Callithrix jacchus: one gene and its partners. The protein of the gene in region 5 interacts with the protein of the main gene of each other region in a pairwise test. Links are inferred from orthologs where the notes say so. Each region holds a gene or a part of one and is shown on either strand. Other genes may lie near its edges.

What was found.
Region 1: the proteins of BIRC7 (region 5) and DDX6 interact in a two-hybrid assay, tested with the Homo sapiens proteins (3 studies listed by BioGRID and IntAct). The two-hybrid records come from large-scale screens. The link is inferred for Callithrix jacchus from reciprocal best matches to the Homo sapiens genes BIRC7 and DDX6.
Region 2: the proteins of BIRC7 (region 5) and CASP9 interact in binary tests that used the Homo sapiens proteins (3 or more experiments, as listed by UniProt). The two-hybrid records come from large-scale screens. The link is inferred for Callithrix jacchus from reciprocal best matches to the Homo sapiens genes BIRC7 and CASP9.
Region 3: the proteins of BIRC7 (region 5) and UBE2K interact in binary tests that used the Homo sapiens proteins (3 or more experiments, as listed by UniProt). The link is inferred for Callithrix jacchus from reciprocal best matches to the Homo sapiens genes BIRC7 and UBE2K.
Region 4: the proteins of BIRC7 (region 5) and POLR1C interact in binary tests that used the Homo sapiens proteins (3 or more experiments, as listed by UniProt). The two-hybrid records come from large-scale screens. The link is inferred for Callithrix jacchus from reciprocal best matches to the Homo sapiens genes BIRC7 and POLR1C.

The regions. Positions count from the first base shown.
Region 1 is NC_133511.1:18,431,971-18,437,758, forward strand, and holds the start of DDX6 (putative ATP-dependent RNA helicase DDX6), read right to left. Parts: upstream 3,601-5,788; 5' UTR 3,569-3,600; exon of another isoform or gene 3,449-3,568; intron 3,006-3,448; exon of another isoform or gene 2,939-3,005; intron 2,784-2,938; exon of another isoform or gene 2,691-2,783; intron 1-2,690.
Region 2 is NC_133508.1:52,840,845-52,846,721, forward strand, and holds the start of CASP9 (caspase-9), read right to left. Parts: upstream 3,261-5,877; 5' UTR 3,098-3,260; coding exon 2,966-3,097; intron 1-2,965. UniProt on the Homo sapiens protein: Involved in the activation cascade of caspases responsible for apoptosis execution. Binding of caspase-9 to Apaf-1 leads to activation of the protease which then cleaves and activates effector caspases caspase-3 (CASP3) or caspase-7 (CASP7).
Region 3 is NC_133504.1:154,118,069-154,123,868, forward strand, and holds the start of UBE2K (ubiquitin-conjugating enzyme E2 K), read right to left. Parts: upstream 3,416-5,800; 5' UTR 3,227-3,415; coding exon 3,164-3,226; intron 1-3,163. UniProt on the Homo sapiens protein: Accepts ubiquitin from the E1 complex and catalyzes its covalent attachment to other proteins. In vitro, in the presence or in the absence of BRCA1-BARD1 E3 ubiquitin-protein ligase complex, catalyzes the synthesis of 'Lys-48'-linked polyubiquitin chains.
Region 4 is NC_133505.1:51,997,773-52,003,456, reverse strand, and holds the start of POLR1C (DNA-directed RNA polymerases I and III subunit RPAC1), read right to left. Parts: upstream 3,516-5,684; 5' UTR 3,493-3,515; coding exon 3,424-3,492; intron 3,297-3,423; coding exon 3,225-3,296; intron 1,285-3,224; coding exon 1,177-1,284; intron 902-1,176; coding exon 769-901; intron 551-768; coding exon 431-550; intron 342-430; coding exon 189-341; intron 17-188; coding exon 1-16. Other genes in the region: protein YIPF3, read left to right, coding at 3,798-3,878, 4,512-4,721, 4,893-4,999. UniProt on the Homo sapiens protein: DNA-dependent RNA polymerase catalyzes the transcription of DNA into RNA using the four ribonucleoside triphosphates as substrates.
Region 5 is NC_133506.1:58,737,450-58,743,216, reverse strand, and holds the start of BIRC7 (baculoviral IAP repeat-containing protein 7), read right to left. Parts: upstream 3,729-5,767; 5' UTR 3,720-3,728; coding exon 3,395-3,719; intron 3,046-3,394; exon of another isoform or gene 2,501-3,045; intron 1,978-2,500; coding exon 1,878-1,977; intron 1,494-1,877; coding exon 1,412-1,493; intron 1,320-1,411; coding exon 1,274-1,319; intron 1,051-1,273; exon of another isoform or gene 732-1,050; coding exon 660-731; intron 520-659; coding exon 272-519; 3' UTR 1-271.

The DNA of each region.
Region 1 (5,788 bases), on a different chromosome or scaffold from region 5:
TGAACTTGGGAGGCAGAGGTTGCAGTGAGGAGAGATGGCAAAACTGCACTCCAGCCTAGGTGACAGAGCAAGACTCCATCTGGAAAAAAAAAAAAAAAAACTTTCCAAGAAACCCAGAGTAGTAAATCTAATTAATACTTAAAACAAAACAAAACAAAACAAAAAAAACTGGCAGATGGGCACAGTGGCCCAGGCCTGTAATCCCAACACTTTGGGAGGCACAGACTGGTGGATCACCTGAGGTCAGGAGTTCGAGACCAGCCTGACCAACATGGTGAAACCCTGTCTCTACTAAAATACAAAAATTAGCTGGGCTTGGTGGCAGGCACCTGTAATCTCAGCTACTTGGGAGGCTGAGGCAGGACAATCGCTAAAACCCAGGAAGCAGAAGCTGCAATGAGTCAAGATGGCGCCCTGCACTTTAGCCTGGGCAAAAAAGCAAAACTCTGCCTCAAAAACAAAAACAAAACAAAAATGGCCAACCTCATTTTAAAATTATCCTGTAAATGGAAATCTCACATTTATTTATTTATTTATTTATTTTGGAGACAGGATCTCACTCTGTTGCCCAGGCTGGAGTGCAGTGGCCCGATCTCAGCTGATTGCAACCTCCGCCTCCTGGGTTCAAGTGATCCTCCTACCTCAGCCTCCCGAGTAGCCGAGATAACAGATCCGGCTCATTTTTGTATTTTTCGGTAGAGACGGGGTGTCATCAAGTTGGCCAGGCTGGTCTCCAACTCCTGACCTCAAGTGCCTGCCCAAAGTGCTGGAATTTCAGGGGTGAGCCACCGCTCCGGCTTAAATCTTACTTTTAATTGTAGTTAATAAAAACATACAAAGACCTGAAAACAAAGCCCTACTCTCTTGGCTTTTCATTTAACCCCGTTACTTTTCTTTTCTTTTCTGAAGTGGAGTTCAGCTCTGCTGCCCAGGCTGTAGTGTTAGTGGCACGATATCGGCTCACTGCAAACTCTTGTCTCCCAGGTTCAAGCCAAGCGATTCTCCTACTTCAGCCTCCCAAGTAGCTGGGATTACAGGCACCCACCACCACGCCCAGCTAATTTTTTCTGTTTTTAGTAGAGACGGGGTTTCGCCATGTTGGCTAGGCTAGTCTCAAACTCTAGACCTCAGTTGATCCGCCCGCCTCGGCCTCCCTAAGAGCTGGGATTACAGGAGTGAGCCACCGCACCCGGCAACCCCATTACATTTCTTACCTAAAATACACTAGCTTACGAGTGTTGATTCTGCTATACACCCAAGGCATTTGAAACTAAAAATTTTCAAGTCAACAGATCTCAAAATTTATGAGAAAACGCTCCTTCATTACGCCTTCCTTAAAAAAAAAACTGAACAAGTTGCTCACAAGCAAATCCTGATTATCACATACACAAAGTTGTTTATTCGGAAGTCCTTCTAACTCTGACCTCTTAAGCAGATATGGTTAACAGCTACTTTCCTGTATTGACGGGTTTATATTATGATCAGCGATTCACGCAGTTCACACAGACTTAGCTGTTAGCAAAGCACTAAGAGGATGAAAAGGGCAACCTCTAAAGACCAAATGATATCATCATTACCGTCCATCATGCACAGTAAGAGCTCCTATCTCCTTAAATCCAAAATGAGACTATGTGGTAACTGCTCCCTTCTTAAACTGAAACCTGCACTGCAGCTTTGTCTCAGAGAAGGAAATATTCCTCCTACCCCTTCCCAATTTAGATTTGCAAGTTATCGCTCTACATTAAAAAAAAAGAAAGAAAGAAAAAAGAAACGTAGACTAGAAACGTAGACTAGTTGGGAGGAGCCCCTAGCGAGTTAATTACAGCACTCCTCAGATCGTAGTTAGCAATTGACAGTTTCACACCCAAAACAGTATCGTCATCGCCAACAAGAGCTTTTATTTGCAAATGCAGCGCAGCAGTTTCTCTAAGCTTTGCCTGCAAGTTGGGGTGACAGGGTTTTATTCTGAAGGGAAAAAGGGGGCTGTGGAAGAGAAAACAGAGAGAGACAGGGAAAGAGACAAGTCAATGACGGAAGCCGCGTAACTGCAGGGAAATAATTCATCGCCCTCTCCCTCACCCCTCAAAACACACTTCAAGTCAGCTCCCTCTGAACATAAACACAAAAGGTAGGGGCTCTGCAATCCTATCTGCGCAATTTGAGCCAGCAACCAGCTCCGCCAGTAGGAAACAATAGGGACTCTCCCCAGGAGACCCCGAAGGGACCCCCCCAACCCAGAAATCCCCCTCCTTTCCTCCAACAGTCGGGAGCTCCATTAGCACCCTCCTGTTACTGACCCGCAAGGCCTACTGCAATCAAGCAGCGGCGGGTTCGCTTCCAAACCGAGCTCTCCAATACAACGTCCCTGCCGCCCCCTATAGGGCCGCCTCGTACCCTATAACCTCCACCATCATCCCCCTAAGTCCTGGCCGCCCCCTTCGGCCTCATATTCCCTCGACTTCCATAAGGCTCCTCCGAGCACTTAGCCCACTCCTCCTGCCGACCCTGCCGCGCACCACATTCCTATATTCGCCTCCTCTCAGGCGCCCCCACCCCAAACAGCTGCCGCCCGCCTTCCTCCCCAGACTCGGCCAGGCCTTAGGCCTCCGCCCGACGTAGCCCCTCAAAGACGGCCCGGGGTACTCCCCGCAGCCCCCACAGCACCTCCGACCTCGACCCCACCACCTCACCCCTGGCCTCGCGGCTCCGGCCGAGTCCCACCAAGGAGGCCACTCCCGCTCAGCGCCCTCGGTCCTTTATTGTTGACTCGAAGCTCCCAAAATGGCGGCCGCTCCTTCCTCCTCGGAAACCTCCGCCCGCCCCCACCCGGCCCCCTCGCTACGGCCTCCTCCCGCCCGCCCCCCCGCCCCGCCTCACACCGAGGGCCGCGTAGCCCAGCCGCCAGCACCGCTGGCTTCCCCCGGCCATCCAGCCCTACCTCCTCCGCTGCCCGCTCTCGTGGCGCCGCCGAAGTCGCCGCCGGGCTGAGCTAGCTCGGCGCCTCTGCCCCTCCCTCGCTCGCCAGCTCGCCCGCCCGCTGCCTCCTCCCTCTTTCCCTGTCTCTCCTCATGGCGGCGACCGCGGCTCCTCCTCCATTCAAGATGGCGAAACCTCGGCCGCCGCGGCGGCGGCGTCACTGCCTCCCCTGCCTGGTGGTGGGAAGAAGCCGGGCCGCGAAAGCCTCCCGAGAAGAAAATGGAGGGCTCTTCTTTCACACCGACAGGAAAAGTTCGAGGGGGAATACGAGTTTCTTTCCGAAGGGACAGGAGGGCTGCTTTCCACAGCTGCGAAGCGACTGGGGAATAGTGGCTGGCAAGGGTCGCCCTGCCTTCGCCCCTCCAAAGTAAAAATTGGGAGTTGAGACCAGAGGAGGATCTGCTTATTCCATGACCAAGGATATGTTTTGAAAACTGGCCCTAGGGCAGCTGCTCGGGGACAGGAAGCTGACCTGACGTCTCCTGCGAGCCCGGGAGGCTGAGGCCGGGCCTAGGGGGCCGCTTCCGAGCCTTTCGGGGCGAGGGTCCATGCAGGAAGGCGCGGAGCTAGCGGCGTGGGGACGCCGGCTCACCTCTGAGCGTGGGGGCGGGAAAGAGGACTGGCAGTGCCTGGAGGCAGGAGGGAGGACTCCAGAGCGCGCGCGGGGGGCGCTGCGCCGAGGGGCGGGGCTGGCCTGTAGGGCGCGCCCGGTAGGGGTAGGGCTCCTGGCTTGAGGGTGCGCCTTGGGGGAAGGCACGGGCAGAGGGCGCGCCTGGGGATGATAAAGCGGGTACACCGAGCTTGAGGGTGCGCCTGAGGGGTTCCCATAGGGTGGGTACCAGACTCGAGGGCGACCCTGGGGGGCTGGGGGCCAAGGCACGGAGCTTGAGAGTGCGCCTCGGGGGGCTGCAGGAGGAAGGCAACGGGCTTGAGCGCGCGCCCGGAGAGGACCGCAGGGGTCCCGACTGTGAGGGCGTATCTTGGGAGACCTGTCGGGAAGGAACTGGGAGAGGAGGCGTAACTGGGAGTGGGGCAGGAGCTGGGTTGTGAGGGTGCCGCGCAGGGGGCGCTGCTCAGGGGGAGTGGGGAGGCCTGGTGGAAGGGTGGCAAGCCGAGAGAGCGCACCTAGGAGGAAAGGGTGGTGGGGGGAGAAACTGGGTTGTAAGGCGCAGAGCTTGGTAGTGCATAACCCTTTCTCCTGCCTTCGAAGGGCGACACTCAAGAAAGTGGGGGTGGAAGGGGCCGGGACTCCCCCAAAGGGAGGGAAGCTACTGAAGCGTCAGCTATAATGGAAATAGAAATTCTGTAAGGAAATGCAGAACCTGAAGGCAGAGAGTGATTCTTCTGCCTGGCCCTCAGTATAAAGATATTTTTGGCCAGGCGCGGTGGCTCACGCCTATAATCCCAGCACTTTGGGAGGCCAAGGCGGGTGGATCACGAGGTCAAGAGATCGAGACCATCCTGGTCAACATGGTGAAACCCCGTCTCTACTAAAAATACAAAAATTAGGTGGGCATGGTGGCGCGCGCCTGTAGTCCCAGCTACTCGGGAGACTGAGGCAGGAGAATTGCTTGAACCCAGGAGGTGGAGGTTGCGGTGAGCCGAGATCGCGCCATTGCACTCCAGCCTGGGTAACGAGAGAAACTCCGTCTCAAAAAAAAAAAAAAAGATATTTTTGTATGTTTCCATAATTACTTTTCAGATCCCAAGGTCTTTGTTCACTCTTGATAGAAATAATAGAACTGCTGTTTTCTCTCAAGTTAAACAAAACTTTGGAGCTAAAAGCTAACTAGGTCAAGAGAAACTAAAAATTTGGGTCTCGTGCAATTGAGACTGAATATACAAACAATGGCCAAACCTATGTGACATTAAAACTCCTACCCATGACCTCTGCAGTAATCGGCCCAGAATGGTCAGGACTTGGTCTTTTTAACTGGCAGCTTCCCTATTTCTTGCCGCTGCTTCCAGCTCTGGGCCAATCAGAAAAAGCCAAATGTGCTCCCCCAAAACCAATCACATAAGAAGCTCTGCTTCTAGTTAACCCTCCTCCAACTTCCCGGTGCCAGCAGCCACCAATGAGAGCCAATTTGAAGTTTCTCCCTCTTCGCTATATGTAGAGCTTTTCCATTCCCCTGCCTGCCTATGAGTCTGCCAAACCAAGTGATTGCGGCTACCTCCCTAGGCAGCTCTGAGTAAATAGCCTGTTCTCATTTGGTGATCCTTATTTCTACCCAGCCAATGGGAAGGTGGTGGAGAATAGTATAAAGACTATTCTTGAAGTTAAAAACAAGGTTCGCATTAATTTTTTTTTTTAATTTTGAATTTACAGCATGGCATCTCCTGCCCAGGCTTTAAAATACCTACTCATGTAAGGAAATAGCCCTGCACCTTGTGCCCATCCTAGAGAGAAAATGGCTTCTTAATGTATGAGGCTTTTTTTGTCCCCAGTATCTTCCCAAGCAGCAGGAATGTGAAGGGCTGTTGGACTAAGAAGTGAGTGGTAGAGAGGCCCACGGATTTAAAACAGGTCACTTGGCTTACACCTGTAATCCCAACACTTTGAGAGGCCAGAGCAGGCAAAACAACTAAGGTGATGAGTTCGAGACCATCCTGGCCAACACAGTGAAACCCCATCTCTACTAAAAATACAAAATTAGCCAGGCGTAGTGGTGTGCGCCTGTAGTCTCAGCTACTCAGGAGACTGAGGCAGGAGACAGGTCTCTTTCCTAGACCACTGAAGAAATTGAACCAGGCAAAGGAAAGCGGTTCACAATCACAGATAAACTATAACCTACAAAAGGAGCCCGGGTTC
Region 2 (5,877 bases), on a different chromosome or scaffold from region 5:
GCCAGGTATGGTGCCACATGCCTGTGGTCCCAGCTACTCAGGAGGCTGAGACAGGAGGATGGCTCAAGCCCAGGAGGTCAAGGCTGCAGTGAGCTGTGATAACACCACTGCACTTCAGCCTGGGCGAAAGAGCAAGACCCTGTCTCAAAAAAATTAAAAAAAAAAAAAAGTTGACAGGCGTCAGGATGGTGGGGTCAGTGACTAAGACAGATGGAAGATTCTGTTTATCTGCCACCTGTCCTCAGAGACCTAGCACTGGTTAAGTTCTCAGGATCCACAGAGATAAGATGGCACCGTGTCCTCAAACACCCTATAGCAGCACTGTCCACGAGAACTTTCTGTGATGATGGAAATATTCTTAGTGGACACTGTCCCATACGGTAACCGTGTATCACGTGACCATTGAGCCCTTGGGTAGTACAACTGAGGAACTGAATTTTTAACTTTACTTAATTACTTCAAATTTACCTTTAATTAACCACATGTGGCCAATGGCTACTGCTGTGAACAACACAGACCTGTAGTTGAGTCTCACTAGCAGAACAGTTGACTATGTGCAAACAGATGGTGGTGGTTGGATTTCTCTCCACATTTGCTGAGCACTCCAGGAGGTCAGCACTGTGTTAAATGCATTGTTTCACCTTTTTCTCCCTCAATAACCTTACAAAGTTAAATTTCAATTTCCCAACATTTTAGGGCAAAAAATTTCAGGGAAATTGAGTCACAGAAAGGGTTTTTGTTTGTTTGGTTCATCGAGTGTGGCTTTTTACAACCTGCCAATATGTAACAAAGCTAGGATGAGAGTCCAGATCCAACTGGCTCCAAAACCTGTGGGTTTTTCAGCCATACCAGGGTGGCAAAATCGCAACCCGTGGTTCCCACAAAGTTCTTTAAAAATTTCTGAATTTGTTGCTAACATTTTAAGCCAGGATTTAAGCCAGGGAATTTGACAGAGGAATCAAGATTTCCAACTTCTTTCTTAAAATGGGAAAGCTGGGTTGGGTGCAGTGGCTCATGCCTGTAATCCCAACACTGAGGCAGAAGAATCACTTGAGGCCAGGAGTTTGAGACCCATCTGGGCAACACAGTAAGACTCCCATCTGTACAAAAAAATAAAATTTAATTTAAGTTATCCGGGCATGGTGGCATGTGCCTAAAGTCCCAGCTACTCTAAAGGCTGAGGCAGGAAGACCACTTAAGCCCAGGAGGTCAAGGTGGCAGTGAGCCATGATCTCACCACTGTACTCCAGGCTGGGCAAGAATGAGACCCTGCCTCCGAAGAAGCAAAAGATCTGGCAATCCTGGGCCATGTGCGGATATGGCCATATCCAGCCTCAGCTGGAGACGGAGGGCAGTGCAAAGGCTATCCACTATGATGCCCATCCATCAAGCCTCCATGGGCATTGATCCCTGTGAACATCCCTGAAAACAACGACTGTGGCCTCAAACCACTTCTGTTCCCCAGTAGGGGTCACACAGAAGTCACAAGACTTCTTTTATTATTAATGAATAATTACTCATATGATACTCAATTATTATATTTATATTTTTTTGAGACAGAGTTTCGCTCTTGTTACCCAGGCTGGAGTGCAATTGCGCGATCTCGGCTCACTACAACCTCCGCCTCCTGGATTCAGGCAATTCTCCTCCCTCAGCCTCCTGAGTAGCTGGGATTACAGGCACGCACCACCATGCCCAACTAATTTTTTTTTGTATTTTTAGTAGAGACGGGGTTTCACCATGTTGACCAGGATGGTCTGGATCTCTTGACCTCATGATCCACCTGCCTCGGCCTCCCAAAGTGCTGGGATTACAGGCGTGAGCCACTGTGCCCGGCCGATACTCAATTATTTAAAGGCTCTTTCACTGGGACCAGGGCACCGGCTGGGGATATCCAGCCAGCCACTCACACCCACTGTACCTCATGGTGGGAAATAACTCCTTTGTCCTCACAGGCCTGTGGTGAGGGTCACGTGAGACAAAGATGGGAAAGTGATTTTAAAGAAAACCTTAGATGTTTGACTTTATTATTCTCCATTGCCTGCATCAGGTCCCCTATTTCCAAAACCTCTAAACAAAACATAAATTGAACACAGAAAGGGCTGGCCTAAGAGGGCAGGGCAGACAGCCTGAGGGTCTGTGCCTGGCTCTACACTGTTTCACATCCATTAACTCATTTAGTCCTCATTACAGTATTATTGTATTCCCATTTCACAGCCCAGGAAACTGTGGCTCAAAGAGAGTAAGTGACTGGCCCAAGAACAGGCTGCCAGGCAGTCTGATGCCAAAGCGGGTGGCCGAAACCTCTACGCTAGAAAAGCAAAAACACACACACCTCCTTCCTTGCAAGTGTTAAAAAGTAAATTAAAATGGAGACTAACCCTGAAGAATTCCTGAGCAGACAATACTAATCAGGCATCCTAAGTGACCTAAATATTGTTTAAACTGCAAAGATAAGCAAAATTTAACCTGGGTCATATCTGATAAATGCTTATGTTAGAGAGAAGCAAAACTTAACTCTAGTCAATCATAAGCAAGCATAAACAATGAAGACCTTTTTTTAAAAAGGCAATTTTGTAACTGCAAACCAATCAAATAATTCCTCTATTTTGCTTCCACGTTTTCCCAATAAATACTTGCCTCTGACGCTTTGCCACTGCAACACTAAACCTCTTTCAGTTTGATGCTCTCCAATTCAAGAACTGCTTCTTACTCAGTTTTCAAAATGTGTCTCACATTTTTCATTTACACAAGACACTCCTGCACTAACAGTGTACTCTGAGCATGGCGTGGAATCGCTTTAGCGAACACCCGACTAAGAAAGAGGTGTTTGGGATTCTTTGGCTCCGCTGGGGGACTAGAACCCACCCACAGGGAAAGCTGGGCTCCCACACAATGGCTCTTCGAGGGGTGTGGGGACCTGGTCGTGCAGCGCGGGAACAGGAGGCCGGGGGCGGGGGCGCACCTGGATGTCCTCGATCATGTGGGGCTTGAACAGCTCGCGGCTCAGCAAGGCGTCCCAGAGCTGGTCCACCCGCAGCTCCTCCACCAGCAGCCGCCGGTGCCGCTGCAGAAGCAGCCGGTCCGCTTCGTTCATGGCGAGCAGCCTCCACCGTCCGCTTCCGGGCCTCGGCAGCGCGCCCAGGTCCCTAGGACCCGCCCTTGCTTCCAGATCCCGCCCCCGCGTCACTGCCCCGGGTCAGTCTTAGCTACAACGCCTCAGGACGCATCTCCAAGGCCTCGCCCCGCCTCCAGGAGTCGCTCTTGCGTCACCGCCCCGGCCTTAGGACGCCCCTCCGGTCGTCGCCCCGCCCCCAAGGCGAAACGTCACTTCCCTACCCCGCCTCAGAACCCGCCCTCGCGTCACCGCCCCGCCTCCAGGACACATCTCCAAGGCCTCGCCCCGCCCCCAGGATTCGCTCTTGCGTCATCGACCCGCCCCAGGATTCAACCCGCGCCCCAACCCTCCCCCAAGGTTAATCTTGTGCCACCTCCCCGCCCCCAAGGTCTAGCCTCGCGCTACCGCCCCGCCTCCAAGAATCAACCCCTCCACTTACCCCACCCTCAGAATCGTCCTTGCGTCACTGCCCAGCCTCAGGCTCCAGCTCGCATCCCCACCCCTTCCCCAAAGTCAATCACGTCCCCAAGATCCATCCTTCCGTCACCGCCCCGTCCCGAGGCGGCACTTCCGCGCCTCGCCCCGCCCCCAGGGCCCAGCCCAGCCCCCGCGTCACCGCCCCCTCCGGGCGCAGGTGCCCCTTTGCAATTGTGGCACCAGTTCCTGGTCCACGGCGGGCCCCTCGCCAGAATTCACTACGGCCCCGCTTTTACAGAGGTTCGAAAGGAGTTGTCAGACTTCTAGCAAAAAGGAAACCATTTGTGGAGCCATGGTCTGTCCCGCCCCATTCAACCTCCTCCTGGGCATGGCTTCCCCTTAGCCTCCTCCTCCACCCCAAATAAAACCATAAGCTCCCCCCCTCAACCCTGTGCCCACATCGCAGATGGCTGTTCCAAACTCGAGTGTCTGATCCGACCAAGCCCACTTTACACAATCTTCCTTTCCCTCTTCCCTCCCTCCCACCCTAACACCTCTCACACAGAAAAAAAAAAGCTGGCAGTAATCTAGTCCTCTAACCTCCCATCGTTTTGAACAGTTCATTTTCACATTTCAAAAATAATCGTTTCTGTTTAGTGGGCATTTGCTAAGTCCCAGGCATCGTGCTAACCACTTTTCAAGCTTATCTCATTTCTCCCTAACTACAATCCTGCCAAGAAAGTATTCCCGCCCCCCGCCTTCCGCCAATTTTACAGATGTAGAGACCCTAGGGTTCAGGGAAACGGATGTTTAAGGTCATATGAGTAGTAGTGGCCGAGGTGGACAGGATTGAAACCCGAATCTGACTTTATAGGCCATACTCGAAGAATCTAAGAGTCTTAGAATATAATCGCTTGAACTGCAACACCTCAGCCCCATTTATTCACTTATTCTACGAATATTTATTGAGCCTGTAGTCAAACACTGAGAACATGGAGGTGAATAAAACAAAATCTCTGCTCTTAGAGTTTACATTCCAGTAGGAGGATCAGATATAAATAAATAAGAGACCGTAGAAATAAATGAAAGACATAGTATGTTAGATAGTGATAAATGCAAAGAGAAAAAAAAAAACAGGGTAGGGAGATATGAAAGTGCTTTATATCCCCAAGGGATCTAACTCACTGGCTCAAAGTTTCTCTCACTCACCTGTGACATTTCCCCCCCCCCCCACCTCCTTTCCCTGTGCTTAAGACAGAGACTGGAACATCCTTGGGTGGAGCTCACTTTTTAGTAAACGCGATTAGGAGTCCTGGATTCTCTCAAAAAAAGATAAACAAAAATAGAAGGAATCCTGGATTCTAGGCCTCGGGAAAATCCCTGCCCCGCTCTGGACCCCAGTCTCTCTATCAATATATGGAAGAGTTGGAAAGTTGAAAAATCCCTAAGGTCCTTCCAATCTGACGCTCTAGGATTCTATGAATAGGGTTAAAGAGAGCAGGGACAAAAGATTGCGTCCCCCTCCTAGCAACTGTTGCTAGACGAGGGCCACCTCCCGGCAGGAGCGGAAACGCCTTCCTGGATCGGGGAGGTCCTTCTGGCATCCCATGATGCATAGTGACTTCGCCTCGCTAGGAGGCACGTTTTGGCCTCTTTGGTTCACGATGAAGCCTTTGGCTACAACCGAAGAGCGCGCCTCGTTCCTGTAGCAACCGCACCAGGTCCACGCGCAGACGGCGAGTGGCAAGGTTCAAAATAAATTCGCCAAGTAGAAGCCCTCGACCTGTTCAGTCCTCGCGTTCGGTGCGACGGACCTTTAAGCGTCACGTGACTCCCCTTCGGGCTCGTCCCCGCCTCTTTCCCCTCCCCAGGCCCGGGCGAGAGCCGGTTTGGACGGGAAGCTCCCGGCCCGGCGAACTAACTGGAGCACGGACGCTGCAGCCGGTTGGGCCGGTGCCCTTTCCCGGTAACTCCTTCCAGGCGTGACGCGCGGAGCCGCGAACGCGGCGGGGCCAGGCCGACTCAGGGATTTCCCGTCAGTTCCTTCTCGTTTCCAGTCACTGCTGGGCCCGGGGGGAGCCGGGAGCCAACAGGGCCCGGCTCTCAGCTCTCGGCGGGCGGCGGGGGAGGGGGCTGTCACCTGCAGGGTTGCGACCTCCGGCAGGAGCGGGAGGCGGGGCTTAGACCTGGAGCTTGTCTCTGGGAGCCTCTGCCTGGTCCTGGAGATGCTGCCCAGAGGGCTGGCAGCCTACCTGTTGGGCAGGTGTTTGCTCAACCGAGGTCGGCGCCGTCTATCTCTCTTGTCAGCGAAAAAAACTTCACAGACCGCCCCCTCTTGGGCC
Region 3 (5,800 bases), on a different chromosome or scaffold from region 5:
CAGCATGGTATAATATGAACACAAGCAGACCTAGATCCAAATCCCAAGTTCCATGTTTGCAGACAAATAATTTAGCTTGCCTGAATCTCTATATTCTCACCTAGGAAATAGGAAATCTAAAGAACTGTTCTTGAGAATTAGCAATAATGTATAAACAAATGATACTAAGAACAACCAGCCATTCTACAAATGGCAGCTAGTTACTAATAGCAGCATTAATAGTAAAAAATACAACCTATGAATAATTATCCTTTTTTTTAGATGTGCCTCTTCAGAGGGTTTTATATCCTCATAATCAACAATTTACTTATGTAATCCAACTCATAAAATAATTATAAAATGTACTTTATATCAATATTCCATGCCTAACAACTTTGGAATATTATTTAAAACGACTTAAAATTCATACTCATATTTAAAAATAAACATCTAAAACAAAGAAAATAAATATTAATAAATTAAAAAGAAACATCTGACAAATTTCCAAACACTGTCTTAAGGGAAAGAGGCCAAATGGTGCCTTTTTTGAGTAAATCACGTTCATATGACACATAATTCAAAAAATATCTACTCCCCATGCCCCAGAGACCCAATTCCCCTACACAGAAAGCAGTCAATTTTTCCAATTTCTCATGAAACCTTTTACCTGCACAGGCAAATACACATATTCCCCTCCATTTGAAACAAATGGTGGCCTCTCCCACACTATTCTGTATCTTGCTTTTCACATTTATCTTGTTGGCTGTATTTTAATTAACACACTCTAAGAATGGCCACCACAATCCAACAAGCGTCAGCTATCTCTACAAAGACACTTAAAAGGCCACCCCAAAAAGTCCTTAAATCAACCAGTGTTCTTACTAAACACAAGCACACAAGCATATGAAATAAACTTTGGTAAAGTGCAGATTTACCAAAAAAGTGACATGATGAAATAGTTATTTGATCAGCCATTCAAAAGACTGGATTTACACCCTTAAAAAGGAAACACATGGACTGTACTACAAGTCCTTCAATGAGTTGAAAATAACAATCTACTTATAGATCTGGGACACTAAAATGTCAAAAAATAATGGTGAAAATAAGCTATTTATTGGTTATATTTATTCCAAGATTAAGTGATGTGAACTTTTCCTAAATGTTCTTTGCAACTTATTTTCCTAGAAGAAGTTTCTTTCCATATTTCTATAGGTACTGTTCTCAAAAAAAAAAAAAGTTTGTCGTCCCTATTTTCTTCTTCTGAAACGCTTATGATACTTATTTGAAGTAAACCATCATCCCTTATGTATAATGAGCAGTGTTATTTTAACAATATGCATTACTAGAGAGCAATACAAGTATTTCTGGTAATCTTCAAGTTAAGTACTAAGAATACCACGGTGAAGTCAGCTCATAAAAAGCAGAGACCATATAAATTACTAGAGTAGTAACTTACCACTTTTCAGTAATAGAAAATAAAGCATTAAAAGTCTATTAAGTTTCAAGCTTCTACAACCTTATTAAACAAGAAATGTTTTAGGTTGTTGGCAACAATATTAGCTGCTATCTTCCATTAGAAGTATATATGTCAAATATCCTGGAATACATTTTCATATTAAGTTAAAATTGCTGTTTCACTGTTATCAATACAAACACTTATGACTCTGTTTCTGCACTGTACCACAAAATACAAAGTCATCCTTCCATTCAGAGTTTTGGCATATGAACAGAGGTCAGAGTTCATACACATGCTCTGTAAAACTGATCATGACTTACATACTACTACTTTCAAGAAGCCTATTTGTCATTTTTGAATTTTAAACAATTTTTTCTTCATGTCTACTCATCACATACTTAGAATGCTGAATTTCACTAATCACTATCGACATTATCGAAGTACTAACCGTAAAAGAAAAAACACAAAAGCAACGATATATTCAATAATGGTACGTGAATCTTGAAAATAACCATTTTCTGTATTACTTTTTGTTTAATCCTTGTGGGGAAGGCAATCTGGTATTCTTGTTGATTTTTGGTATGAAAAACTGTACTAATACTTATGTAATTCTGAGTCAAATTACTAGAGCATTGTGAATATCTTACTTAAACGTACTAATATATCTAAATTCTGCAGGATTTAAGAGCAACGGGAGGCAATTTTTTTGAAAATCTGCTATATCGTGATAAATCTACTCAATAAAGAGATAAAACAGTGTATTAATCTGGTAAAAGCACACGTTTTTAATAGGTCTACTTTTCAAAAGTAAGAATCAAGTTAACTATGAGGGACATCATAATGAAGTTTCGTGGCACAACACTAGTCACAGAGGTACTGTATTAGGACAGTCTCTCTGATCTGTAACTTGTAAACAATATTTTGAAATAAGCTACTCTTACATTCCATTTTTTTTCTAACTAAAAATATTTAAATGTCTTTAATACACCAAACACCTTGCCTTTGCCCACTCAAAGACTGAGATGTCGATAAAGACGAGGCCTAGGAATTTGGGGGTAAAGTGGAAAAGACATAACGATCTCATTTGGAATTAACTTGCTAACAGAGGTGAAAATTCCCTTATCCCTGCCACCGAATAAGACAGTATTCTATTATTCTCCCCTTGACTCCTAACACCCAACTAAGAAGGACTAACTCTGAATGTCCTTCCTTTTTAATCGATACCTAAGGACTCACCGCTCCTTCCCTAAGAAAAGGACGGTGACGGCCTGACAGGCAATAACCCAGAATATCCTCAAAAGTGTGGGCCTTAGAGCAGCACCGGCTCCTCCGGATACAGTTACCACCTTTCCCCTTCCCCCAACCCACTTCCCGGGTTTTCTCGGGCTCGGCCTGCTCCCTCCCCACCCCAGAGCCACACTTCCAGCTGTGGCCACCGCCTCGGGTTCTCTCGTGAGCTTCCATCCCGCCGAGGAGTTCCCCCCTGTCCATCAGTTCCCCAAACTGTGTTCCACCCCAGACCCCCCGCCCGCCGAGACCGTCCATCCTAGCGCTGTGGGAGGGGAGGGGAAGGCGGCGGAAGGAGGAGGGGAGCACTACTGCTTCCCCACAGGCAGAAGGGCGGCCGCAAGGAGGGCCACCCAGGGACTACCGGGGATATCGGGGTCACGCTGGGAGGACCCTCCCGCCCGGGCAGAGGTGGGGGATGTCCGGGAGTTCATTTCTGACCTCCTCGCTCTTCAGCACCTCCTTGAACTCCCGCTTGATTCGCTGCACCGCGATGTTGGCCATGTCTCCGCCCGCAGCTGATTCGTACCCGCCTCCTCCGCCACCGCTACGACCACCGCCACCGCCGCCACCTCTTCCTCCACCGCCTCCTCCCTCAGCGATTCAGACCCGAGCACACGAACACTGCCACTACCACCCCGGCCACCGCGCTCTCCTCAGTGTGGAATCACCTCCGCGCCCGGCCACCAAAATGGCGCCGGGTCCGCGCATGCGCATGATGCTGACCCGGCCGGGCGGCGCAGCCGCTCCCGTTGTAGCCCCCATTCGCCCGAGCCACGAGCGCGCGTCTCGACTGGGGCTGCGGCCGCTTGACTCCGCCCTGCCGGCGTCTGGAGCCGGGAGGGTGCGCCTTCCAAACTGGCCGGGACCGCCGGTCCTCCCCGGCGCCTCCACTTCTGTTTAAACCCGGGTGCTGTGGTCCGGGCTGCCAACCCCTGGACTCTGACCGAAGGTTCGGGTGCAACCGAACGGTTCCCGAGGCCGCAATCGGCTGGAGCGCCTTCCTGACTCAGCTAGACCCGGAACCCGGTGGCTGAACGCCGGGTGCGGGAAAACGTCTAGTGCAGGAAAACGCTCTCCCGGAACTCGATCCGGCCCATTTTCAGTTGGTGTAGCCCCAGAAAATCCGCTGCAGTCGTTTTTGTTCTGCAACATTTATAGTACCAAGATTATTCCCACCATCTCAGGTAGCACAGATTATTGAATTAAGGCTGGTTATTGTTGAATCAGATCCGGTTTGAGACAGGTATTACGTGGAGAGGCCTGATGATGGATCTAGAAGCCAGATGTTGATCTTTGACCTATTTAGATAATACAGAGCTTGATACACACACACACACACACACACACTCGCGCGCGCGAGCACATACTCCCACTCCTATACACACTCACTCCTGTGCCCATCCCTAGAGTGTAGGATGGCCCCAAGACACACTCTCTCTCTCACTCATTCTTGTGCCCATGTCTGAACTAAAGCATGTGAAAATTCATATAAAAGTGAAAATTGGAGAAATAGAAACAATTATAGTGCTTTTCAGGGCACTGGGGGTGGGGGAGGGGAGCTTTACTTCTGTAAACCTAGGCCTACAAAGGTGCCTGGTGCTAGTAGGCACTCAATAAATATTGAATGAATAAATGAGTACACGTAAGAGTAAAATGTTTTGGCTGCCACGGCGGATCGCTTGAGGTCAGGAGTTCGAGACCAAGACTGGCCAACATGGTAAAACCCCGTCTCTACTAAAAATACAAAAATCAGCCAGACATGGTGGCGGGCGCCTGCAATCCCAGCTACTCTGGAGGCTGAGGCAGGAGAATCGCTTGAACCCCGGGGACAGAGGTTGCAGTGAGCGATATCGGGCCACTGCACTCCAGCCTGGGCGACAGATCTGTCTCAAACAAAACAGAACAAAAAGTGCAAAATACTTTAAGTGGAAAGTCAGTTTGAAAGTGGTTTCTGGTCGGGCACGGTGGCTCAGTGCTGTAATCCCAGCACTTTGGGCGGCCGATGGTGGCAGATCGCTTGAGCCCAGGAGTTGGACACCAGCCTGGGCCCCATGGTGAAGTTCCATCTCTAAAGATAATAATAATTTTTTTTTTTTAGAGTGGTTTCTAAGGCTCATAGTAATAATGATATGGTACTGAGAAACACTTTGAATAGAACATTTTAGAATGAGTAATAAAGATGTTATTTTAGAAGTTTATACTTCATGTACTGCCTTCACCTAGCCAACCAATAAAATATCTTATTTTAAAAATATCACAAACACATGGTCTTAGCAAAAGTAATTATAATTGTGGCACCAAATACGGAAATAGCCAATGGAGGTGAATCAGTGGCGGCATAAGGCAAAAGAGAATTTCTTAAACTCCTGCCCCAGGTACCAAGAGGAGAATTTTAAATTCCAGTTTACTCCCATGCCAGCTCTCTTGCCAGCTTTGATTTCCTCATCTGCGAAATGAGAAAACTGGATTGGATTATCTCTTCCAAGTTTTAAGAGTTCAGAACTCTATAAAATATCTCAAAACATTCCCCCTAAGTGGACTGACATAAATTATATAAACCCTTCTAACAGAGCCCCCTAGTGGTCCTAAGAGGACTCAACCATATACATAGGTCATGGTACAAGTAATTATTGGCTTAATGTAAATCACCCAATGCTATATGTATTTGTGCCAGTAGACTTAAAAAAAAAACTATTTTGAAGAGTGCAAAAACTTTTTGAGCACTTTACATTATCACTATTCAATCCTAATCTTGGAATGTAAAGAAACTTGGAATACTCAAAGGGGGACCAGGTAGAAGTTTCCAGGCCAGGGCTGTGGCTCACGCCTGTAATCCCAGCACTTTGGGAGGCCAAGGTAGGTGGATGATGAAGTCAGGAGTTTGAGACCAGCCTAGCCAGCATGGTGAAATCCCGTGTCTACTAAAAATCCAAATAATTAACTGGACATGATGGTGCATGCCTGGAATCCCAGCTACTGGGGAGGCTGAGGGAGGAGAATCATTTGAACCCAGGAGGCAGAGGTTGCAATGAGCCGAGATCATGCCACTGCACTCCAGCCTGGGTGATAGAGTGA
Region 4 (5,684 bases), on a different chromosome or scaffold from region 5:
TTGGCATGGTCTTTGCCTGGAGGGGAAGAAGGAAAATCTGCCTATAGGAAACCCTTCTTCATTCTTCCTAAGCTACTTACAGCAAAAGACATAACCCTGTTGGCTTTCTACCTTTGGGGAATATCTTGGCTGAGTTCCTCAGTCAGTTGGCCCCACTGCCCTTCCCAGGAAGGCCCAAGGGTTCTCACCAATGCCCTTGACACAGTGCATTAGCAGGTCAATTTCCTGGCCAGGCCGTAGCTGAGCAATGAGGATATCATCATGCACTGGTCGGATAGTGCCCTCTGGGAAGAGATCAGCCTGGTTCCCCAGGGGAATCCATGTCATATGCCTGGTATACACTGCAGGAAAAACGTGTCAGAGGATCTCAGTCCCTAAAACTAGCAGCCACCCACAGGTGGGCCCTCTTCCTCACTCTACCACTACTTACCTTTGTGGTTCATGTACAGTTCGTTGGGGTCAGAGGAATCTTTAGCAGCATGGGGGTTCCGAGTACATCTGACTTGAAGACGAAACTGTAGAGTATCTATCTCTGTGCCTTCTTCATCTCCTGCACCAATGGAGAGAGCTCTTAAGAACTAGTAAATATCTGAGTGCCAGCACTATGCTGAATGCTTTACATATTTCCCATTTAATTATCTTGGCAAACTTGGGAAGAGAGGGCAAGTGTTCTCACAGATGAAAAACACTAATATACTTACCCAATGTCACAGTCAACCAGGATTTAAACCCAGACAGTCCACTTCTCCCAAAATTTCATTTTCTCACCTTGGTTCCGATACTCAAAAAGACGGGGGTCAGCATGAATGGGAATGAGCCCCAGACGGTGAGCAAGGATCTCATCCTGAACAATAGATGTGTTGTTGTACACCAGGACCTTCTCCACAGCCATAGTTGGCACCTGCCCAAGGAAAAAATCACTTATCAGCAAAAACCCAATAGACCCCCTACCTATCCCCACAAACTCCAACCTCCAGAGGTAGGGAGCTATCTCTCTTCCTAGAATGTTTAATGAGAAGTTTACAAAGAATGAGAAGGTAAAATCCTTAGCCAGCAAAACTCCAGGAAAAATAAGAAGGGAAGGACAGCTTGAGACACTTAATTCTCCAAGTGACACTCCAAGTGTCAGTGCAGTTCCCAAAGCAAATCCAACCTTGTCACCATGCCTGCCAATACCTCAGCTAACAGAATTCGTCGAAAAGCATTGGCAATGGATGCATCAATTCCCACCATGTCAAACTCCAGTGAGTTTTCATCCATGTGTACCACATCCACACGGAAATTCTAGAGGGACAGGAAAAAGATTAAGTGAAGCCTGCTCTCTTTGTAATAGCTCTTCATACCTCCCCCTCAGATGATTCCAAGTATTATCCACTCATCCAAAAACCACCCTTTGCCCAGACGTCCCTTATTAAATGTTCTTTCTCGTCCAGTGCTTGCTTTAGGTTCATGAAAAGTGTCCATTTTTTGTCTTCCATTCATTAAAACCCTATCCAATATGGCTCCCAACCAAACCATCCACAGAAGCTATTGTCCTAAGAACAGAAACCCACCTCACTGCTTAGTCATGCTGACACTAGACAGTCCTTTTACTAGACGTCTGTTACGCCTGGCATTGATTAAAAAAATCCCCTCCTGGAAAGGCGCAATGGCTCATGCCTGTAATCCCAGCATTTTGGAAGGCCAAGGTGGTTGGATCACGAGGTCAGGAGTTCGAGACTGGCATGGTGAAACCTCATCTTTACTAGAAATACAAAAAACTAGCCGGCCATGGTGGTGTGCACCTGTAATACCAGCTACTCAGGAGGCTGAGACAGGAGAGCTGCCTGAATCCAAGAGGCAGAGGTTGCAGTGAGCTGATATCCTGCCACTGCACTCCAGCCTGAGCAACAGAGACTCCATCTCAAAAAAAAAAAAAAAAAATCCCCTCCTTTTTTGAACTATTCTCCTGGCTTCTGAGCTCCATTCTTCCTTCTCTGATGATCAACAACGTCCACCCATCTCTAAATCTACCAGGTTCTGGTCTCTCTCCCAGGTGACCTTAACCACACTAACAACGGTTTTAGCAACTATCTGTGCTGACACCTCCCAAAATTTTACCTCCCTTCTGATCTCATTTCAAATATGCAGTCTTCTAGCCTGCTAGATTTCTCCAAATGCAGGAAACGACGTATCATCATTCCTCTTCCCCAGACCCATTTCTTCTCTCAGTAAATGATACCACAATGCATCAAAGCAGTTCCCAAGTCAAAAAGTCATTTTATGCTACCCCAACAGCCTTTACCAAAGCAATCACAAATTTACCTTCTTTCTTCCTTTGCTCTCTTTCTACCGTCAGTCTTAGTTCATACCTTCAACCTCAGCTTCCCTTACAACAGATCTGCCTGCTCCATACGATCCTCTTCAAACTCATTCCCTCCCAGCTATCAGGGTTGCAAATCTAATCATGTCTGCTTAACTATTCAAGCTCCCTATCATCAACAGTGCCCAAGACACACTTCAATCTTGCCTACCACTAGTGCCAGAACTGCTTGGACATTCCCGGAGCACAATTCACACCATAACTTTTTTTCAAGCATTAGCCTTTTTCATTGTTCATACTTTATTCCTGTATCAACAGGTTAAAAAAAGTAAAATTTTCCCAAGCACAGATTTATAGATCATGTTTTATAAACTGCACACACAGTTCAGTTGCATAAACAGTAACATTCAGTGATCTATTTAAATGCAATTTTAATCCTTATTTTAAGCTAAGTGAAACAATAATAGACTAAATACACACAAAACCTGTATATCCTCAACTTCACTGACCTGAAACTCAAAGCCTTCCTAATTTAACTCCTGTTCTTTACTTACCGTTCAAAGCTCAATTCAGATCTTCCCTCCTCAAGAAATGTTAAGTACCTCTGGGCCCCTCTTCCTGGTCTCAGCATAATGTTCCCCACACGAATCCTGCCATCTTCACAGCTATCAACCACCTTTACCATATTAAACTAGATTCACTTGTTTATACGCACCATTCCTCAACAAGACTGAACATCTTGTTTGCAGAACTGGGTAGAAACTGTGTCTAACTTGGCCTGTAAACGGAGGTCTACCACATTGCTCAACAAAACTTACAAACGGAGCGACCCCCAAGAGCAGCTACTGAGACAGACACATGCTGCTGAGACCACAGGGTCTGGCCCTCCTAACAATCCCCGGACAACTCTGGCCCCACTGACCTTCTCGAAGCGTTCCTGGTCCCAGGCATCATCATAACCGGAATAGTTACCGGGAAAGTCAGTGGTATGGACCTAGAGCAAAGGGATGAGTTTGTCCACAAATGGACAGTGAGCCTACGGCTATCCCCACGCCAATCCCAAGACCCATCCCTGTTCCGCTCTCATTCCTCCCGCCTGAGCTCAAGGACACAAGTCTTACATTGCGAACCCCAAACTCTCCTAGAACCACGCGGCTCCGCATTTCTTCCACGGCCTGAGTAGCCGCCATGTTCAATCTCTCCAAAAGACTACAGGCTCTAGCTGGCGCGTGCGTTCTAGCAGCACTGCTCCATCTCCGTGGCAACGCACCGCCTCCTGGAATCTTAAATATCGCGAGACTTTGCTCCACCTTCATCCACGTCCCCAATTTCCGGAAGTTGGTTTTGTCCAAACATCCGGGTTTCTCCTTTTTGTGTTCCGGCTGATCCCACCTCTCCGCGACCTGGGACCTCTCCCTTCTTGGGACTCACATCTCGCACACTTCCCTGCGCGCGGGGCTATCGCGGGCTTCAGCGACGGGAGCCCTCAAAGGGCATGGCAACTACAGCGGCGCCGACGGGCGGCGCCCGAAACGGAGCTGGCCCGGAATGGGGAGGGTTCGAAGAAAACATCCAGGTAATGGCCCCAAGGCACCAGATGCCAGCAACCCGAGGGCCGGCGATGTCCAGAAGTGTCTTGGGGATTCTCCCTCGGGGCCTGGAAGTTCACTCCATTTGCAAAACTGCCTTCTTTGGGTCTTGCACACAAAAGTCAGTGGAGTTAACATTGACCTGAAAGGGCCAGACTAGTCTACTACTCCAGCCTGAGGATCTCGGGTCTCTGGGCCCGCCCGAGGCGTTAGGAAGAACGTATTCTTGGAACAAGTTAGGAGGTTGGTTGGGGTCAGGCCTGGAGTGGGGTTGGGTGGGATTCACTGGCACTCGCCGAAAACATACTGTGTTCATAGTTTTGTTTGGGGCTTTGGAAAGACAGAAATGGATTCTTTTTCAAGCTTTTAGTCTTTGATAGGTAAGGTAGGAGAAAGACATGAATGGAAGACTAGTTGGTTTCCCAGGCTAGAAAAGATAGCCAAAGCTATAAATCAAGCGTTCTGAGAGCAAATGAGGGGGAATGGAGTGGCATGATCTGTAGTGATTCCAAGCCGTATCCTCAGCAGTGGAAGAACAAAGCCCTAAGCCCTGGGATGAGCAGAGGACTTAATGGATGGAACAGAAAAGTCCTGCACTCTAGGAGCCATTGTCTTAACAGGGCGGAGGCTCAGCTGTGATTGACATGGAGAACATGGATGATACCTCAGGCTCTAGCTTCGAGGATATGGGTGAACTGCATCAGCGCCTGCGCGAGGAAGAAGTAGACGCTGATGCAGACGCTGATGCGGCTGCTGCTGAAGAAGAGGATGGAGAGTTCCTGGGCATGAAGGGCTTTAAGGGACAGCTGAGCCGGCAGGTGGCTGATCAGGTAAGCAAGATGGAATCCCCTGCAGGTGGAAAAGTAAACCTAGGTGTGTCCCATGTCCTGGAGTTGGTATTGGTGTGTCGCCCCAGGTTGTCCTGGTAGAAATCAAATGGAAAATAGGCAACAGGGTCTAATGCCAAGAGTTCCACAATACCTATGCCCATCTTCCTTCAGATGTGGCAGGCTGGGAAGAGACAAGCCTCCAGGGCCTTCAGCTTGTATGCCAACATCGACATCCTGAGACCCTACTTTGATGTGGAGCCTGCCCAGGTGCGAAGCAGGTGAGGAGCCTTCTCTTGAAGAAGCTTCCCTCCTAATACCTACTCCTTCATGCACTCTACAAGCCCTGTGCTCTGGTGGGCTCCCCCTCTTCGTGACCTCATCACCTCTCATCACTGCACCTGTCATTGAACACAAATAATCATAACACAGCGCCTTCCTCCTCTTTTCCATCTAGCCGACTACTCATCTTCCCTCAAAACCTACCTCAGATGTCACTTCCCCTATTCCACATTCCTCAATCCCATCCCCAGTTTGTTCTCTCCTGGTATTCCTATAGAACACTTGCCTCCAACAGACAGCACTTCAGCACTGCCATCCTTTCATATTGCTGGAATTTTCCCCCCAGAGCAGGCTCTATCTTGTTTATCTTTTTATTCCCAGCACCAGAACAGTCTCTGAACCAGAATATCAGGGCATAGTTTTTGAGTGACTTTTCAAGAACTAGATATAATCCTGGCTTGTTTTGTTTGTTGTTGTTCATCCTTTAATCAGTGCTAAGCAAATACCCAGGACCACTCAGCAAGTATTTATTAAGCATTTGCTCTGTGGCAGACCCTATGCTAATTGTATCCGGTTCGGTGGTGAAGATGGATGGGAGCCTTGCTCTTGAGTACAGTTATAGTACAGTCCTCATGCTATGATGGGGTACACGGGATCGATATGTGAGCCATAGCAGGTTGGTGG
Region 5 (5,767 bases):
TGTGGCCACCAGGGCAAGGTGCTGAGAAGGACCTGCTGGAACCTCAGCGTCAAGGGAGGTAGTAAGATTAATAGGCGCTGACAGTGGGGCGCGGGGGGCGGGGCAGGGGAAGGACCAGCTGTCTCTGCCACCGGGGAAGGGTCTGCATGGGTTCGGGCGGACAGGGCTCGCTGGCTCAGGGCCACTCTGTGGGTTCGGGCGGGTGGGGCTCGCCGACTCAGGGCTGCTCCACAGGAGGGCTGGCTTTGTGGGCGCTGGGCGCTCACCTGGCCTAGGACAGGAAGGTTCGGACGCGGCCTTGGACTGGCGCCCGGCAGATGGGGCACAGCTGCAGGCTGGAGGCGCATGTGGCACAGACCAGGTGGCCGCAGGGCACGAAGACGATGGACACGGCGTGGTCCAGGCACACCTTGCACGTCCTCTCCTCCTGCAGCTGCCTCAGCTGCTCCTCCATGTCCCTGGCCCCCGGGGGCTCCAGGACCCACCATGCCCGCCGGGCCTGGGTTGGACTGGCTCCTCCTAGGAGATAGACCTTTGAATGCACCCTAGCCCTGGCCCCCACCCTCTATGGGCTGTGGAAGGTGGGCATCACCCAGCACCCCCGGTGCCATCAGCCCTCCCCTGGCCCAGCCCCACCCTGGGGAGTCCTGGGCCTGTACCTGGCTCCTGGGTGCCCTCAGACTGGACTTCTCTTCTGGGCATGGGCAGCTCTGGGTCCCTAGGGGCAGGGGCTGTGGACAGTTAGCATGGATTTGAGGTCTTGCTCCCAAGGGGAAAGCCGGGCTGACTCGAAGACAGATCCACAGCTTGTGGCGTCCAGTTCTGGCCAGGAGCGGAGGGGCTTCAGAGTCCCCCTGCTCCCACACCACTTCCCACCCCTCCCACAGCAGAGCAGAATCCAGAGGCTTCCTGGAGGGGCTGCCAGAGAGCCTGGCCCTTGTCCAAGGCCCTCTGCACATCCAGCCCCTCTGGCAGTGGCTGTGGCCGCTGTGTGCTGGGCACTGTTGGGGGTGCTGTGGCAGGCGGCAATGGGCTGTGCCAAGGGGTGAGCTGGGGGAAAGCAGAGTTAGGGCCTGGCATTGGCGGGAGGCCCCTGCTGCCCCATCCCCATCCTCATGGCACAGCCCCCATGAGGTCAACCCTGGTGGCACCTCACACCCAGTCATGCCCATCACTGTCCTTGCTGTCTGGCAGGGTGGGGACACCCAGTAGCTTTGGCCAAGCACAGGCTGCGGGTGCCCGAGGAGGCAGCCAGGGTGGTGTCGGCTCTCACCCGAGGGGGCCACAGGGGCTGCGTCTTCTGGTTCTTCCCACGGGTCCTGGAAGGAGCCAGAGAATGTTGGTGCCTTGGGGAAACAGGAGGGGCCGGACCCCATTGCCTCCCGGAGCCCCGAGGAGAGGTGGCGCTCACCCAGGAGCCCAGCAGCTGGGAGTGAGCCTCCTGCACACTGTGGACAAAGTCTCTCCCTTTAGACTGGAGCAGGAACTGACACCTGCAGATGCCCCCAGATGTAGGCTGGGGCTACGAGCCTCCTGTCAGCTTCAGCCCTCAGAGCCCCTGGGGCCAGGGTTGGGCCCCTCCTCCCACTGCCCTGCAGTGCCTGTGGGCATGGGCTGGGGGGGCTGCTTTGGAGACGCCTCGTGGGCCTTCAGGGTATTTCCGTGGGAGAGGAATTTCTGCCCTCAGCAGCCCTTCCCAAAAGGGGCCCTCACAGGAAAAGTGGGTACCTGCCGGGCAGAAGCACCATCCACAGAGGGGCCTTCCCAGTGCCCTGTGGGGCCAGGGAGGCAAAGCAGGCCTGGGGTTGGGTTGACAGAGCCCTTCGGGGCCCACCATGACCCGTGATCAGACCCAGGGTGCCGGGAGCAGCCAGTACCTGGGGAACCATTTGGCATGCTCTGTCCAGGGATCGTCCCCGCACTTCCAGCTCTGCAGGCCCCCATAGCAGAAGAAGCACCTCACCTTGTCCTGTTGGCCTGGGTTGTGACAGAGATACTGGCACTAGCCAGGCCCCACCCAGCCCCAGGACCCCCGCTTCGTCCTTCCAAGGTTATGAGAGCTTGGGGTGGAGGGGTGGGGAGCTCCCAGGTCGTATCAGGGAGGAGGGGTGGGCAGGGGCTTGGCGGGTGATGTCACATGCACACCATTTGCATCAAAAGTGAAGGGGACAAGACTGTCTGGGTGCCAGGCAGGACGGGTGAGAAGGTTCAGGAAAGGACTGAGCTGGCATTTGCATTGTCCACAGAGTGAGCGGTGGGGGCCCCCCAAGGCCTGGCACATCTATAGCCCTGGGGCTTCGGGAGTCAGAAGGGCCCCTCCCCAGGTCTCTGCTTCCCAGAATGGATTACAAGTGAGCAGAAGGGGGCGGCTACCCTAGAAGGCCAATCTGGTGCCAGGCTTGGTTTTAGGAACTCATGCCTTCCTTTGGGGGTGGGAAACCCCTCACTGCTCTACCTCCTGGCAGCTCCATCCCCTCATGGCAGACATGGGATATGTCACCTGGCACTGCCATCACAGGTCTGGGCTGCAGCAGGCGCTGGACCTCTGGACCCCCAAAGAGCCCTGCTCTGCAGCTGCTATACCTTCGGCCCGGCCTTCGCCTGCTGAGCCTTGGACCTCCGGGGAGGTGGGTGAGCTGGGCCGGCCCCTTCACGATGAGGCTCCTGACTGTCTCAGCCACGGTCCCCACCCCCAGCTGTCTCATGTTGGTCTGGCCTTCCCAGGACGGTGCCCCCCAGAGCCCATTGCTGACGATGACCAAGGCTGTGCCAGTACTTGTCCCTCAGCCAGGAAGGGGCAGAGCTAAGACCTGAACTCAGGTCTGACCACGTGGTCCCAGATGTAGGGCCGAGGAGCAGGCCCAGGCCAAGACTAAGATAGGGGCTCTGGGCGCTTGGTTCCGTCGGGGAAGACCAGACAGTGGCTGTGGGCTGGGGCCTGGAGAAATTCCCCACAGACTGAGTGGCCAGGACCTCGCAGCTGAGCACTGCCTGCCTCGGTCACCCTGATCTGTTCCTTAAACATCTCACCCCATGCAGACCAGCGGTGGGGGGAAGGTGAGGGCCCCAGGCAATGTCAGCCCCTCCCACTTATATCACAAAGGGGTACTTGCACGCCCAGGTAGCAGCCTCCACAGCTGAGACTCCCAGACTGTGGCCAGAGGCAGCCCCTCCTCCTGTCCCACAGTCTAACAACTAGGCCAGCAGAGACTCTGGGGGAAAGTGTCAGGCACCAGGACATGGCCACTGAAGGGGCTTACAAGACCATTCAGTCATCAGGCCGGACCCTTCCCTCTAGGGTATGGGTGCCACGAAGGAGGCAGAACCCTGGGCTGGAAGAGTCCAGAATCATGCCCAGGGCCTCAGCAGGAAAGCCCCATACCCCAGGACTGACCTGTGTGGAAGAAGCCGGCAGCGGCCAGCAGCTCGGGCGGCACCCCAGCGGTCAGTGGCCAGTCATAGAAGGAGGCCAGACGCAGCTCCTCAGAGCCCATGCCGGGGAAGGCAGGACCCCTGGGCGAGGTGGCCCCGGCGCCATCCTCCTCTTCCTCCGCTGCCAGGGGCCGAAGCTGGCCCAGAATCTGCCCATCCACGTGGTCCCAGGCTCTGAAGGTGTCCAGGCCCAGGACAGGGCAGCACAGAGTGTGGGGGCCACGGTGCTCCTCGGGGCTCGGCTCCGGCCCACGGTGCAGGCACTTGGCACTGTCTTCAGGCCCCATGGAGGGAATGGCAGCTCTGGCCAGCTCTGCAGCAGCAGTGGGGCAGATGGCCAGTCCCAGAGGATGCCTGGCTGCCCTTCTGGAGCTCCTGATCCCCGCACCCACCCGGGGACAGCAGGGATAGGCACGGCGTTGCCACCAGTCACCCTGGGTGGGGAATATCCTGGGGCCTACTGCTTTCTGGAAGAGCCCAGGGTGGCCTCTGGGATCGCATGCTCTGTGCATCGGGGGCGTGTCATGGGGCCCCTGGCAGGGTCTCAGATTCCGCTCACTGCACGTGGGCAGGCAGTGTCTCTCCAAACCAGAGGGGAGGGAACTGAGCATGGAGACCCTCCCCCAGGCTGGTGCCTGCCCCGGGCTGTGGGGGACCGGTTGGGGAGCCAGAGATGATGGCTCTGGGGTCAGGCGCCCAGGGCAGCCTCTGGAAGCAGAGAAGGCTCAAGTAAGAATGGATGGACTGTGCGGCCGACCAGGCCGGGGCTGTGAGCCCCCACCTTTCCGGGGTGACTCTGGCCGCACAGGGCCTAGTGCCGTGTCATTCGGGGCTGGAGCGGGAGGCAGGTTACCCGGGTGTTCTCTGAAACATCCTCTGTCCCACGGGGCCTCCACAGGTCTCGGAGCAGCTCTTTTCCTCAGGCCATGAAGATCAGAGCAGACAAAAAGGCCTGTGCTGCGCTCCCCTCCCCCGGCCCCTTCCCATCCCTTTCTCCCCCTCCTTCCCCCACCTCCCTCCACTTCCCCCACCTCCCTCCACTTCCCCCACCTCCCTCCACTTCCCCTACCTCCCTCCACTTCCCCATCTCCCTCCACTTCCCCCCACCTCCCTCCACTTCCCCCCACCTCCCTCTACTTCACCCCACCTCCCTCCACTTCCCCCCACCTTCCTCCACTTCCTTCCATCTCCCTCCACTTCCTCCCACCTCCCTCCACTTCCCCCACCTCCCTCCACTTCCCCCACCTCCCTCCACTTCCCCCACCCCCCATCTCCCTCCACTTCCTCTTATCTCCCTTCACTTCCCCCATCTCTCCAGTTCCCTCTGTACCAGCCTCCCCAGATAGCCAGGAGAGAGGCTCTGATGTCCCCAAGAGAGGTGCATCAGTGTGGGCACTGGGATTGGAGCTCTGAGGTTGGCTGTGACTCGAACCCCTGGTCCAAGCTCCACAGCTGCGCCATGCTGCACAACTCCCAGCGAGGGAGCAGGGAGGGGGACTTGACCCCAGAGAAGCCCAGGGGTGGAACAGGAACCCCAGGGACACCTGGGCGGGACAGAGAGAACAGATGGATGGGCCCAAGCCTCACCACTCCCCAACCCCCTACTGAGCCCTCAACCCCGGCAGCTCATCCATCTAGCTGGCCCTAAGAGTCCCCTGTCATCGTTCAGCCTCTCTCCCCTGCTGCTCATCCTGGAAGGGGTGTGCAAGGTCACAGAGTTAAAGGAAACGAGAGGAGTCGCAAACTATGGGGCTGCTGGTTGCTGCAGGGAACACAAGCAAGCAGGAGAGGGTTAGCCACGGTGGAAGCCATCCATGGTGAGTGCAGGCGGGCAGAAGAGGGTTGGCCACGGTGGAAACCGTCCATGGGGAGTGCAGGCGGGCAGGAGAGGGTTAGCCACGGTGGAAACTGTCCACGGGAGCACAGGCGGGCAGGAGAGGGTTAGCTGCAGTGGGAACCACCCACCTGGAAGCCTGGCTGGCAGGGCACCAAAGAAGCTGGCCAGTCCCCCATCGCATGCCCTGCCAGGGGGACAAGAGAATTGTTCCCATTTCGCTATGATGGTGCCCTTGAACTCCAGCCTGGACCCTGTCTCAAAACAAGCAAACACCAAACAGCAGCAACAAACCCTAGCCCCACATTCCTCCAGAGAAGGATTCGAGGTTCCCTTCGGGCTCCTTCAGGGACCCTGCGATTAAACCTTTCTATGCTGTGACCCAGCATCATGGCATCTGGACTTGCTGTGAGGGAGCATCAGCAGCTAACCAATCACTGTTACCAGAGACAAGTAGGGCTGGGAGGGAAGAGAGGATCCCTGCAGCCAGATGCCGGCTGG